3 linked regions of the Cricetulus griseus genome follow. The protein of the gene in region 2 interacts with the protein of the main gene of each other region in a pairwise test. Links are inferred from orthologs where the notes say so. Each region holds a gene or a part of one and is shown on either strand. Other genes may lie near its edges.

Evidence for each region.
Region 1: the proteins of Ccndbp1 (region 2) and Ilf2 interact in a two-hybrid assay, tested with the Homo sapiens proteins (2 studies listed by BioGRID and IntAct). The two-hybrid records come from large-scale screens. The link is inferred for Cricetulus griseus from reciprocal best matches to the Homo sapiens genes CCNDBP1 and ILF2.
Region 3: the proteins of Ccndbp1 (region 2) and Imp3 interact in binary tests that used the Homo sapiens proteins (3 or more experiments, as listed by UniProt). The two-hybrid records come from large-scale screens. The link is inferred for Cricetulus griseus from reciprocal best matches to the Homo sapiens genes CCNDBP1 and IMP3.

What each region holds. Positions count from the first base shown.
Region 1 is NW_023276806.1:64,067,501-64,071,155, reverse strand, and holds part of Ilf2 (interleukin enhancer-binding factor 2), read left to right. Parts: intron 1-1,152; coding exon 1,153-1,218; intron 1,219-2,334; coding exon 2,335-2,451; intron 2,452-2,811; coding exon 2,812-2,890; intron 2,891-3,306; coding exon 3,307-3,394; intron 3,395-3,655. UniProt on the Homo sapiens protein: Chromatin-interacting protein that forms a stable heterodimer with interleukin enhancer-binding factor 3/ILF3 and plays a role in several biological processes including transcription, innate immunity or cell growth.
Region 2 is NC_048599.1:57,426,011-57,429,665, reverse strand, and holds part of Ccndbp1 (cyclin-D1-binding protein 1), read left to right. Parts: intron 1-566; coding exon 567-648; intron 649-2,814; coding exon 2,815-2,908; intron 2,909-3,063; coding exon 3,064-3,137; intron 3,138-3,655. UniProt on the Homo sapiens protein: May negatively regulate cell cycle progression. May act at least in part via inhibition of the cyclin-D1/CDK4 complex, thereby preventing phosphorylation of RB1 and blocking E2F-dependent transcription.
Region 3 is NC_048597.1:168,459,985-168,462,729, reverse strand, and holds Imp3 (U3 small nucleolar ribonucleoprotein protein IMP3), read right to left. Parts: upstream 1,609-2,745; 5' UTR 1,557-1,608; coding exon 1,002-1,556; 3' UTR 603-1,001; downstream 1-602. UniProt on the Homo sapiens protein: Component of the 60-80S U3 small nucleolar ribonucleoprotein (U3 snoRNP). Required for the early cleavages during pre-18S ribosomal RNA processing. Part of the small subunit (SSU) processome, first precursor of the small eukaryotic ribosomal subunit.

The sequences.
Region 1 (3,655 bases), on a different chromosome or scaffold from region 2:
ACTCTTAACCTCTAAGCCTCCAGCCTACTTTCCTAAACATTGAGGTTAGATTTGGGGCTAATAATAATTAAAGCTCAGATTTATTTATTTATTTGTTTATTTATTCACTCATTCATTCATGTGTGAGTGTGCATGTGTGGAAGGAAAATAGTAAATTTATTATTTATTTTACTTTATTTGAGATAGGGTTTCACTACATAACTCTGGCTATCCTGGAATTCACTATGTAGACTAGGCTGGCCTCCAACTCAGAGATCTGCTTGCCCCTGCCTCCAGAGTATTGGTATTAAAGGTGTTTACAATCACATCAGGCTCTTTGGTGTTTTCTTAATTTTTATTTATTTATATTTTCTTTTGGTTTTTCGAGACAGGCTTTCTCTGTGGCTTTGTAGGCTGTCCTGGAACTAGCTCTTGTAGACCAGACTGGTCTTGAACTCACAGAGATCCATCTGCCTCTGCCTCCCAAGTGCTGGGAATAAAGGCATGTGCCACCACCACCAGGCTTTTTTATTTTTTAATGCAATTGCAGTAATAAAGGACAAATTGCAGTGCATGTCTAGAAGTTATGGCCAGTACTGCAGTCCACATCCATCAGCTGGAATCAGTTTTGCTCCCTGTGAGACACTGGTTGTGTCTAGACACATCTTTGATTATCTCAGCCAGGGAGTGCTACTGGCATCAATAGGGAAAGAGACCAGGTGTGCTCATGAACAACTAGAACACCTAAGGCAGACCCTGTCCTCACTGAAGAGAATGACCCAGCCCACATGTTCTTTAAGTGCCACTGACCTGCAAATACTGCTGTAGAAAGAAGACATATAAGCTGAGTAGTGGTGGTGCACACCTTTAATCCCAGTACTTGGGAGGCAGAGGCAGGCAGATCTCTTGATTTTGGTCTACAAAGTAAGTTCCAGGACAGCCAAGGCTACACAAGGAAACCCTAAAGTAAAAATAAAGTAAAAAGATGTGTGTACCTGGGGATTGTTGCTTGAGACTTCTAAGCTTTCATTCTCCCTGGCAAGAGTCTTCATTCTAGTTGAATAATCTTCAGTCTGTGGGGTAGAAATGGAAATGCCAATTTGCTTATTGATAGAAGAAATTACACAAAATACATTACTGTAACAGTCACTCTGTTCTTTTTTTCCAATCTAGTGGAAGCTGTTGCTGCCCTGGGGAACAAAGTCGTGGAAAGCCTGAGAGCACAGGATCCCTCAGAAGGTTTGAGTTTTCTCTGAATATCTATGCTGTGGCAATAGCAGCTGGGCTTATAAACAGTCAGGTCCATGTAAGTCAGAGTTTAGCAGGAGTCTCAGGTATTTATTGTTTATTTTATTTTATTATGAAGGATGGGTTATGAGACAGAGACTTAACTCTATAGCCCAGGCTGGCCTCGAACTACATTCCTCCTGCCTCAGCCTCCCAAGTGCTAGGACCATAGATAGGTATGCAGAGATTTCTGTTTTAAAACTCCATAATTCAGAAATAACCCTTAGCTTGAATTTGAACACAGTGCCTCATACATGATAGGTGATCAGTCTTGTCTCTTCCCGTTGTTCTGTCCCTCCCCTACCTTTTGAGATGGGGTATTATGTCAGTTGGTCTTGACTCCTGATGATCTCCTTGCTGCCACCTTCCAGTTACTGGTATAGGCTCTTGATTGATTGATTGATTGATTGATTGATTTTTGGGTGCATGCTGTAATCCCAGTACTTGGGAGCACAAATAGAGTATTTGGAGTTTGCTATATATACATACATATACATCTTGTCCTCAAAAAAATTAAATAACCCACTGCCAGAAAACCCACCTGTTAAACCAGGTGTGGCACACCCTATAACCCCATATTTGAGAAGCTAGGGCAGGGGGATTGGTAATTTAAGGCAAGCCTGAACTATATACACACTAACATGTTTATAGTTGGTAGGGTACACATCTAACAAGTGTGAAGTTCTGAGATCAGTACTCAGCATTACATACACTATATTTGGTGGCACATGCTTATACATGCTTGTTAGACTAGTGAGGTAGAGGAAGGAGAATCATCAGTTGAAAGTCGTCCTTGGCTATACAGTAGTTGGAAGGCAGCCTGAGCCAAATGAGATCTTGTCTCAAAACCAAAACAGGTCAGGAAGATGGCATCAGGCAGAGCCTGATGACCTGAGTTCATTCCTGGGGCCTAATGGTGAAAGTAAAGAACTGATTGATTCCTAAAGGGTTATCCTTTGGCCTCTACAGGTGTGTGAATGTGCCCACTCACACATGCTCTAAATAAATATAATAAAAGCAAAACAGAACAAATATGTGTTACATATTTTGATTATTTTGTTCTTTTAGTTTTGACCATGCTGACTAATGAAACTGGCTTTGAAATTAGTTCTTCTGATGCTACGGTGAAAATTCTCATTACAACGGTGCCACCCAATCTCCGAAAACTGGATCCGGAACTGCATTGTAAGTCTTTTCTCTCCATTTGTGGCAGAGAGACAGCCAAAGCTTTGAAGATCTCTGGAAATTTTAGTATTTACTGTGAAAGAATTTTACTTTCTCCCTAATTTGTGAATAGTTTTACAGCTTCCTAGTGAGATTTTCAAAGCCTTAAAAAGGATTGCAGAGGAAAAATCTTGAAGAAAAAGATAAAAAGTAAAATCTTGTATAAATACTTGTGAAGAGAAATAGATTATTGGGAAAGATTTGGCTGGGGAGAAACAATAGTGTTTAGACAAGTGGCTTGCCACACTCGGACTGGTATTGGGATTGAATTTATTGCACACTTAGTAGGAAAGTTTCTTAGCCTTTTGTACTTGTCTTCAGTGGACATCAAAGTGTTGCAGAGTGCCTTAGCGGCCATCCGGCATGCGCGTTGGTTTGAAGAAAACGCTTCTCAGTCCACGTGAGTCTCCTTGGTTATTTGATTAAGATAACCCTTCCTGAGGAGTGTAGTGGTTCTGGCCTATGATCTAGCCATCAAGAATAACAGTACACACCCCTACTTCCTCTGACAGAAGTTTCAGAAGTGATGTCTGGGTTTTGATTTTCACCTAACAAGATTGAAGGAAGACGTACTGATTATTTTAGTGTATGTATGTGTGCATGTGCAAATGTGTGCATAGGCACATACATGGGTCATAGTCATGTGAGTCTCAGGGATTGAACTCAGGTTTGTCAGATTTAAGAACAAATGCCTTTCTCTGCTGAGCCAGCTGGTGGGCACTGTATATGTAGTTCCCTAAATAGCATAGTCATCTTTGACTAAGTGTGGAAATACCAGTATGGTGTTATTACCTCTAACCTATGGGTCTCTTACAGGGTTAAAGTTCTCATCAGATTGCTGAAGGACTTGAGGATTCGTTTTCCTGGCTTTGAGCCTCTCACACCCTGGATCCTTGACCTTCTTGTAAGTTAAAAAAAAAAAAAAATGCATCTGAGGATATAGCTGGGTAGAGTTGTTTAGTATGTGCAATTCCCAATTGCCAGTACTGCAAAAAAGGAACAAGGGTGCAATTGGAGTCACTCTTGGTCTATATATTTACTTAGTTTAATTTTCTTTTCCCTCTTTTTTTTTTTTTTTTTTGAGGCAGGGTTTCTGTGTAGCAGGGTTTCTTTGTGTAACAGTTCTGGCTGTCCTGTCCTGGAATTAGTTCTGTAGATCAGGCTG
Region 2 (3,655 bases):
TTAAGAAGAACCACAGTCTTGAGCAATTTGGCAGTAAGAAAAAAAGATAAATTGTATGACAGCAAGCAAAGACGTAGTAATTGCCTGATTCAGTAGTTGGGCTGTATTCAACAAAAGACCAGGTGCTGAATATTTTAGGCTTTGTAGGACAACTGCTTAACTCTTCCCTTGTAATACAAGTACAACTGTTAGATGCTTGTAAATTAATGAGCATGACTGTGTCCTAGTAACACTCCATATATAAAACCCACCAGTGAGCCTAGGGGGAGCCTCTGGGCTATAATTTGCTTCCTACTGGTCTAAGTGCAGTGATTATCTCATGGCACAACATGATTGCTTAAGATATTAAATAGCAGAAATGAGGTTTTCCTTCATTTTGTAATGCTTTTTTGAATTGTCTGGTATCTGCCTAATTTCTTTCTAGTGTGGGATGAGTACTCCATAGGCTTTCAGAAAATATTTGTTCATGTTTTATAGGTATTTGATCTCTTCTTCAGTAAATAGGCTGACAGCATTGATATTGAACATTTGCTCTGTTCATTCTGAATTTGTCCATCACCTCATAGGAAACCCAGAGGATCTGTGAGCAAATTCATGTTGGCATCAAGGAAATTATTGAAGTATATTATTCACTTCCTAAAAATCAGGGTAAGTCACTGTGTATACACAGTAGTGTTGCATTTTATAGGCTAGATCTTTGCTATATGTAAACATTATTTATCTTTTTGTTTGTTTGCTAGTTTGTTTGTTTTTCGAGACAGGGTTTCTCTGTGGCTTTGGAGGCTGTCCTAGAACTAGCTCTTGTAGACCAGGCTGGTCTGGAACTCACAGAGATCCACCTTCCTCTGCTTCCGAGTGCTGGGACTAAAGGCATGCGCCACCAAAGCCCATCGTAAACATTGTGGACGGAAGTTTCTGTCCCACCCAGTACTGCAGTTGTTTAGTACCAAATAAACACACAGAGACTTACATTAATTATAAACTGTTTGGCTGATGGCTCAGGCTTCTTATTGGTTATCTCTCTCTTAATTACTAACCCATTTCTATTAATCTATCTCCATGTAGTTTTGGCTTACCAGAGAATGCCTGGGCAACTTACCTTCCTGATGGCTACATGGCATCTCCCGTGCCACCCTCTGCTTTCTTCTCTCCAGAATTCTCCTAGTCTGGTAGCCTTGACTATACTTGCTGCCTGTCCATTCGCCAAAACAGCTTTATTCACTAACCAATAAGAGAAACATATATTCACAGCATACAGAAGGACATTCCCCATCACATTATTATATATGCTTATCGTCAATGTATTATTATATATTTATTTATAAACATATTATACATGTCTATTGTCTTCAGTTTTGAGCATGTGACTTTTTCCCCTAATATACTCAAAGGTCATTTTATAATGTGAGTGATCTCATAGCAGTCTGTTATGCTAAAGTACAGATGCTGTGCACCTGTGGTTTCCTATTGTTACTACTTTACCTGATTCTTTAAAAGGTGTGGGTGTGGGTGATGTGGGTATGTAAAAGGGTCTCTCATTCCATTGTGGGTTCCTGGTGTTAAACTCAGATCATCACACTTGTGCAGCAAGTTCTTTTGCCTGCTGAGCCATCTCCACTGGTTATTTTTAAAAGTTATTGTTTATGTGATGGGTATGGGTGTTTAGCCTGCATGTGTGTCTATGCACCACATGCATGTCTGGTCCCTGCTGAGGTCAGAAGAGGGTATCGCTTCCCCTGGAACTGGAATTACAGACAATGTGATCTGCCATGTGGATTTGGGAATTGATCCTGGGTCCTCTGGAAGAGCAGCCAGTACTCTTAAGTGCTGAAGCATGTCTTTATAAAAAACATTCCATTATTTGTGTCTGTGTGTGTGTGTGTGTGTGCACACACATAGGTGCATGTGTGTATTCAGGTGCTCACAGATGTGCATGTGAGTACGTGTAGAATCAGTGCCTTGTGTTTTGAGAGAGTCTTCCTTGGAGTTCACTGATTGCCCAGGAAGCCTCCTATCTCTGCTTCACCAGCACTGGCATTATAGGAACACTCCATTTTGTCTGCCTTTCTCATGTAGGTTCTGGGAATTAAACTCAAGCTGTCATGTTTGTGTGACTGACGCTTTATCAAATAGGCTGTCTTCTCAGCCCCTAATTCACTTTTCTTTCTTATACATGCTTGCTAAATCCCAGCTCCATACCCATGCCAAGGCCATCCCTGTCCTCCTCCACCCTGCATTGCATCATACTCTGTTTGTAGACTCTTCACAAGTTAAGTGCCCACTAGCCTAGCCTGTAGATTTCTACCTTTATTGAAGTTATGATGAGAAAATAAATGAAAACATGTAATAGTTCATCTGGGTTACTTACAAATGCTTTAAACTTACAGTGTTTTGTCCACAATTATCAAAGGACCAGTGTCCTTAATGAATGAACACACATGGAAAGAATAAAACTGTTGGAGAAGAACTCTAAAGAATGGCAGGAGGAGCCGGGCATTGATGGCGCACGCCTTTAATCCCAGCACTTGGGAGGCAGAGGCTGGTGGATCTCTGTGAGTTCGAGGCCAGCCTGGTCTACAAGATCTAGTTCCAGGACAGACTCCAAAGCTACACAGAGAAACCCTGCCTCGAAAAACAAACAAACCAACCCCTGCTGCCCCCCAAAAAAGAATTTAAGACTTGAGTCTTGCACTGGTATGTGCTGTAAAGTATGTATGTATCTGTTACCTCATATTCTGTAACACTTAAGAATCCAGAAAACAAGTTGTGACATGAGAAACGACCAGGCTACTTACTGTTTGGGTTTGGCTACAGGGATCACCCTGAGAAAGCTGGTGCGGAATGCTACTTTGGACGTTGTGGATGGCATGGCTCAGCTCCTGGAAGTGCTTATCTCTCCATCTCAGAGGTATCAGTGCCTCAGTGTGGGATGGCAGTTAATTGGCTTCCTTGACTCAGGGAGGAAAAATTGACCCTAACAGTCAAGTTATATATTATCCCTCATGGCAGACAATTTTAGGAGACTGTGGTTATTGATGTGTCCTTATTAATTCCTTTTTCCAGCACTGAGAACTGTGACCTTATTTCCTGCAATAGTGTCTCGGTAGCATGCCAAAAGGTGTCTGAGATTCCAAAAGGTGGGTAGAAGTAAGCTGGCTGAAGCAAAAAGGCCTCTCATATCCAGCTTCCAGCTTTGCCTTACATAACTAATTTCTATAAAGATTTTAAGTGAAATAATACATAGTTTATTATCATCAATATATTGACTTTGGTACTTTTTGCCATTCTTCATACTGGTTTTTGGTTTGGTTTGGTTTGGTTCTGGCAGTGCTGGGGATTGAGCCCAAGGCATGCCATCCAAGCGTCCTACTGCTGAGTGCTGCTCTTTAAGTTCAGACGCTTCTTGCTGTGGCTCTGTTTCTCGTTGAACAGATAGAGTTTGCTTTCCTGTTGCTGTCCCAGGAGTAGCATCAGAGAGCACGCTAAAAGGGTTATAAAGCAGAGCCAGGCAGATGACTAAGAGTAATGTGATAACAAACACCATGAGACAGTTTTATTTTTTCTGGTGGTGAAATTAAAAGGCCTTCTAATCCTGTGTCCAGGCAGAGAGTGTAGTAGAAAAGTTTTACTTTAAAGCAGTGTTGGTTGTGCTTTG
Region 3 (2,745 bases), on a different chromosome or scaffold from region 2:
GACAGGCTCCAAAACAATACAGAGAAACCCTGTCTCGAAAAGTAGGAAAAATATATATATATAGAATTAAAAATAACACCTCTCAAAAAACCCAATATGTAATATGCTGGGTTCTGTATTCTAATTTGTCTGTGCTAAAAATTGATGTTCTCTTGACAAATTCTATCACTTTATTTTTTTGCTGTTGTTTTTTGCCTGGTTTTTGGAGTAGGGGTTCTTAACAATGAACCCATGACCTTGCACATAAGACTAAACACACATTTTTCCACTCCTAAGAACAGCTGTTTTCAGGAACCTCCTGGGTCACTTCTAACCACGAGCTGGCCAAGCTACAGAGTGATCATTTCCTTAGGCAAGCAAAGACTCCGGGCCTTTAATTTGGTATTTCCTGGGGCTGGAGTATCAACAGGAAGTCTTGTGGATAAAAGCTCTGCCAAAACATTCATTCCGAGAAAAGGACTGGTAAAGTGATAAATCTGCCCAGCTTATACAACATCCTGCAGCCTCCACGTGAGGCTCCTGCGGCAGACCTCACGCCTACAATCCTATTCCGATTCTTTCTTAGGGTTAGAAACCTCGGCAAGGGTATCATCAGACAAAAATTTGCACTTAACAAGGTGGTCGGGACATTTATTGGCATAAGGAAAAGGTTTCTTTAAAGGAGGGAGTGAACACTTAACATTCCCGTAGCCCCGTTTCATATATAAAAACAAAACAACAAAAACACCTGAACCCAAATCTGTAGCAGTCAATCCTAGCTCAAGATGATAAAGCCAAGGAGAAAGGGGGTAACGTCCTTGCTTCTACACCACAAAGTGACGACCTAACAATCGCCAGTGCAGTACAAAACTGCTTCCCACTGACTCGCAAAAAAAAAAAAAAAAAAGACAGTCATTTAATTATCAGTCCAAATTCTAATAAAAAGTCCCAGAACTCAGGGGCTATTCTCCCCATGCCGGGCTCAGTGACCTGTAGTTGTGAAGCCTCGGGGAGAAGGCTCGCTAGGCATCCAGATCAAAGTCATCGCGCTCCTCGTTGTACTCCAGCACGTGCCGCTTGATCTTGGACGAGTCCACCCAAGTGACAAAGTCCTCCATGCTGCGAGTGACGAGAAAGGCGGGATCGGTGACCACGTCTGGGCCCACGCGGACGTGACCCTGCTCCACAAAGGCCACGGCAGCCTGAAGGTGCTGAGCCATGCGTAGCTTGAGGAGCAAAGTAGGCAGGCGGCGGCGGCAGAAGGAGGAGGCTGAGACCGAGTCGCAGAGCTCTAGTGAGCCGCGCGTGGGTACCAGGCCGAGCGCGTACAGCTTGTCCAACAGCGCCGCCGAGGCGCGCACACGGAAGGGGTCGCGTTCCGGCAGGTCGCGCAGGCGCCGCGCCAGTTCCCGCACCGCTCGGCTCAGCTGGTTATAGCGCGTGTACTCCTCCCGCCGCTGGAGCCCGTACCGCCGCAGCACGCGCAGCTCGTGAAGGTTGTGGTCGGTGACCTCCCAGTTTAGGAAGTCCACCTGCTTCAGCAGCTTCTGCTCGTGGAACTTAAGCTTCCGCACCATGATGGAGACTGCCAGAGAAAGCGGAGAGCACGCTGAGAAAGCAGCACAACTTCCGCCTCCGCGCCGGAAGACCCCGCCGCCCAGACCCCTGGGCCAATAGAAAGAAAGCTACGACCACGCCCCCGTATTTCATTGGTCAGACTTAAGAGCTTCCTGTTTGGAGAGGCCAGCGGGAGGTCGGAAGGGCGTGTCCTGCGAAGACAGCGTGAGCGTCTTAACCGCCTGGGGGGAAGTCGTATAGCCTAGTGCTTCAGAAATTTTGTTAGATTTCTTGTCTTTGGTGACCCTGAAGAGAGTTCCCCTCAAGAGCTGGAGACGTCAGTTTCGGGAGAGAGGAGTAACGGCTAAAAGATGTAGTTAGAACCGTGCGAATTTCTTCGCTCCAGTGGTTTCTAGAGCTGGCGAATAGTCCCACCCCGGTCAGCAACAGGTCTGTCACTGGACTGGGGAAAGGGATTCTCCTTGCCAAGCAGTACTGAGCAGCACTAAACCTATGGCATGCCGGTTTCCTGGCCGATTACTAGACTCACGTAATCAGAGTGGGAAACACCCTGACATCTGGCTTTTACTTTTTTGAGACATCGTGTCTTCCCTAGGTAGCCACGAATTCGCCGTAATCCAACCCGCCTGTCTCCCAAAATGCTGAGTTTACGACCATGAGCCACTACGGTCGTCTTTTTTATTTTGTTTGTTTGTTTGTTTTTCGAGACAGGGTTTCTCTGTGTAGCTTTGGAGCCTATCCTGGCACTCGCTCTGGAGACCAGGCTGGCCTCGAACTCACAGAGATCCGCCTACCTCTGCCTTCCGAGTGCTGGGATAAAGACCGACGCCCGGCACGGTCGTCTTTTTTATTATTTTATTTATTTTTTATTTTATTGAGACAGGGTCTCTCTATGTGGACCTGGCTGTCCTGGTACTCTATGTAGACCAGGCTGGCTGTCCTCGAACCCAGAGCTCCACCTACCTCTACCTCTCGAATGCTGGAATTAAAGGCTTGTTTCTCTACTCCCAGCTCTTATTCTAGAGACAATTCTATGTTACTCAGGTCAGTCTGGAGAGTATGTTTCGGCAGTCCTCAGTGGTTCACAATATGCACCCAATATGAGGAACTCATTAAGTACAATTCAACCCATCGTCTGAAAGAGCTGAAAATATCTTGTCTGGCAAACTCTTGCCCAGAACCCCCGCC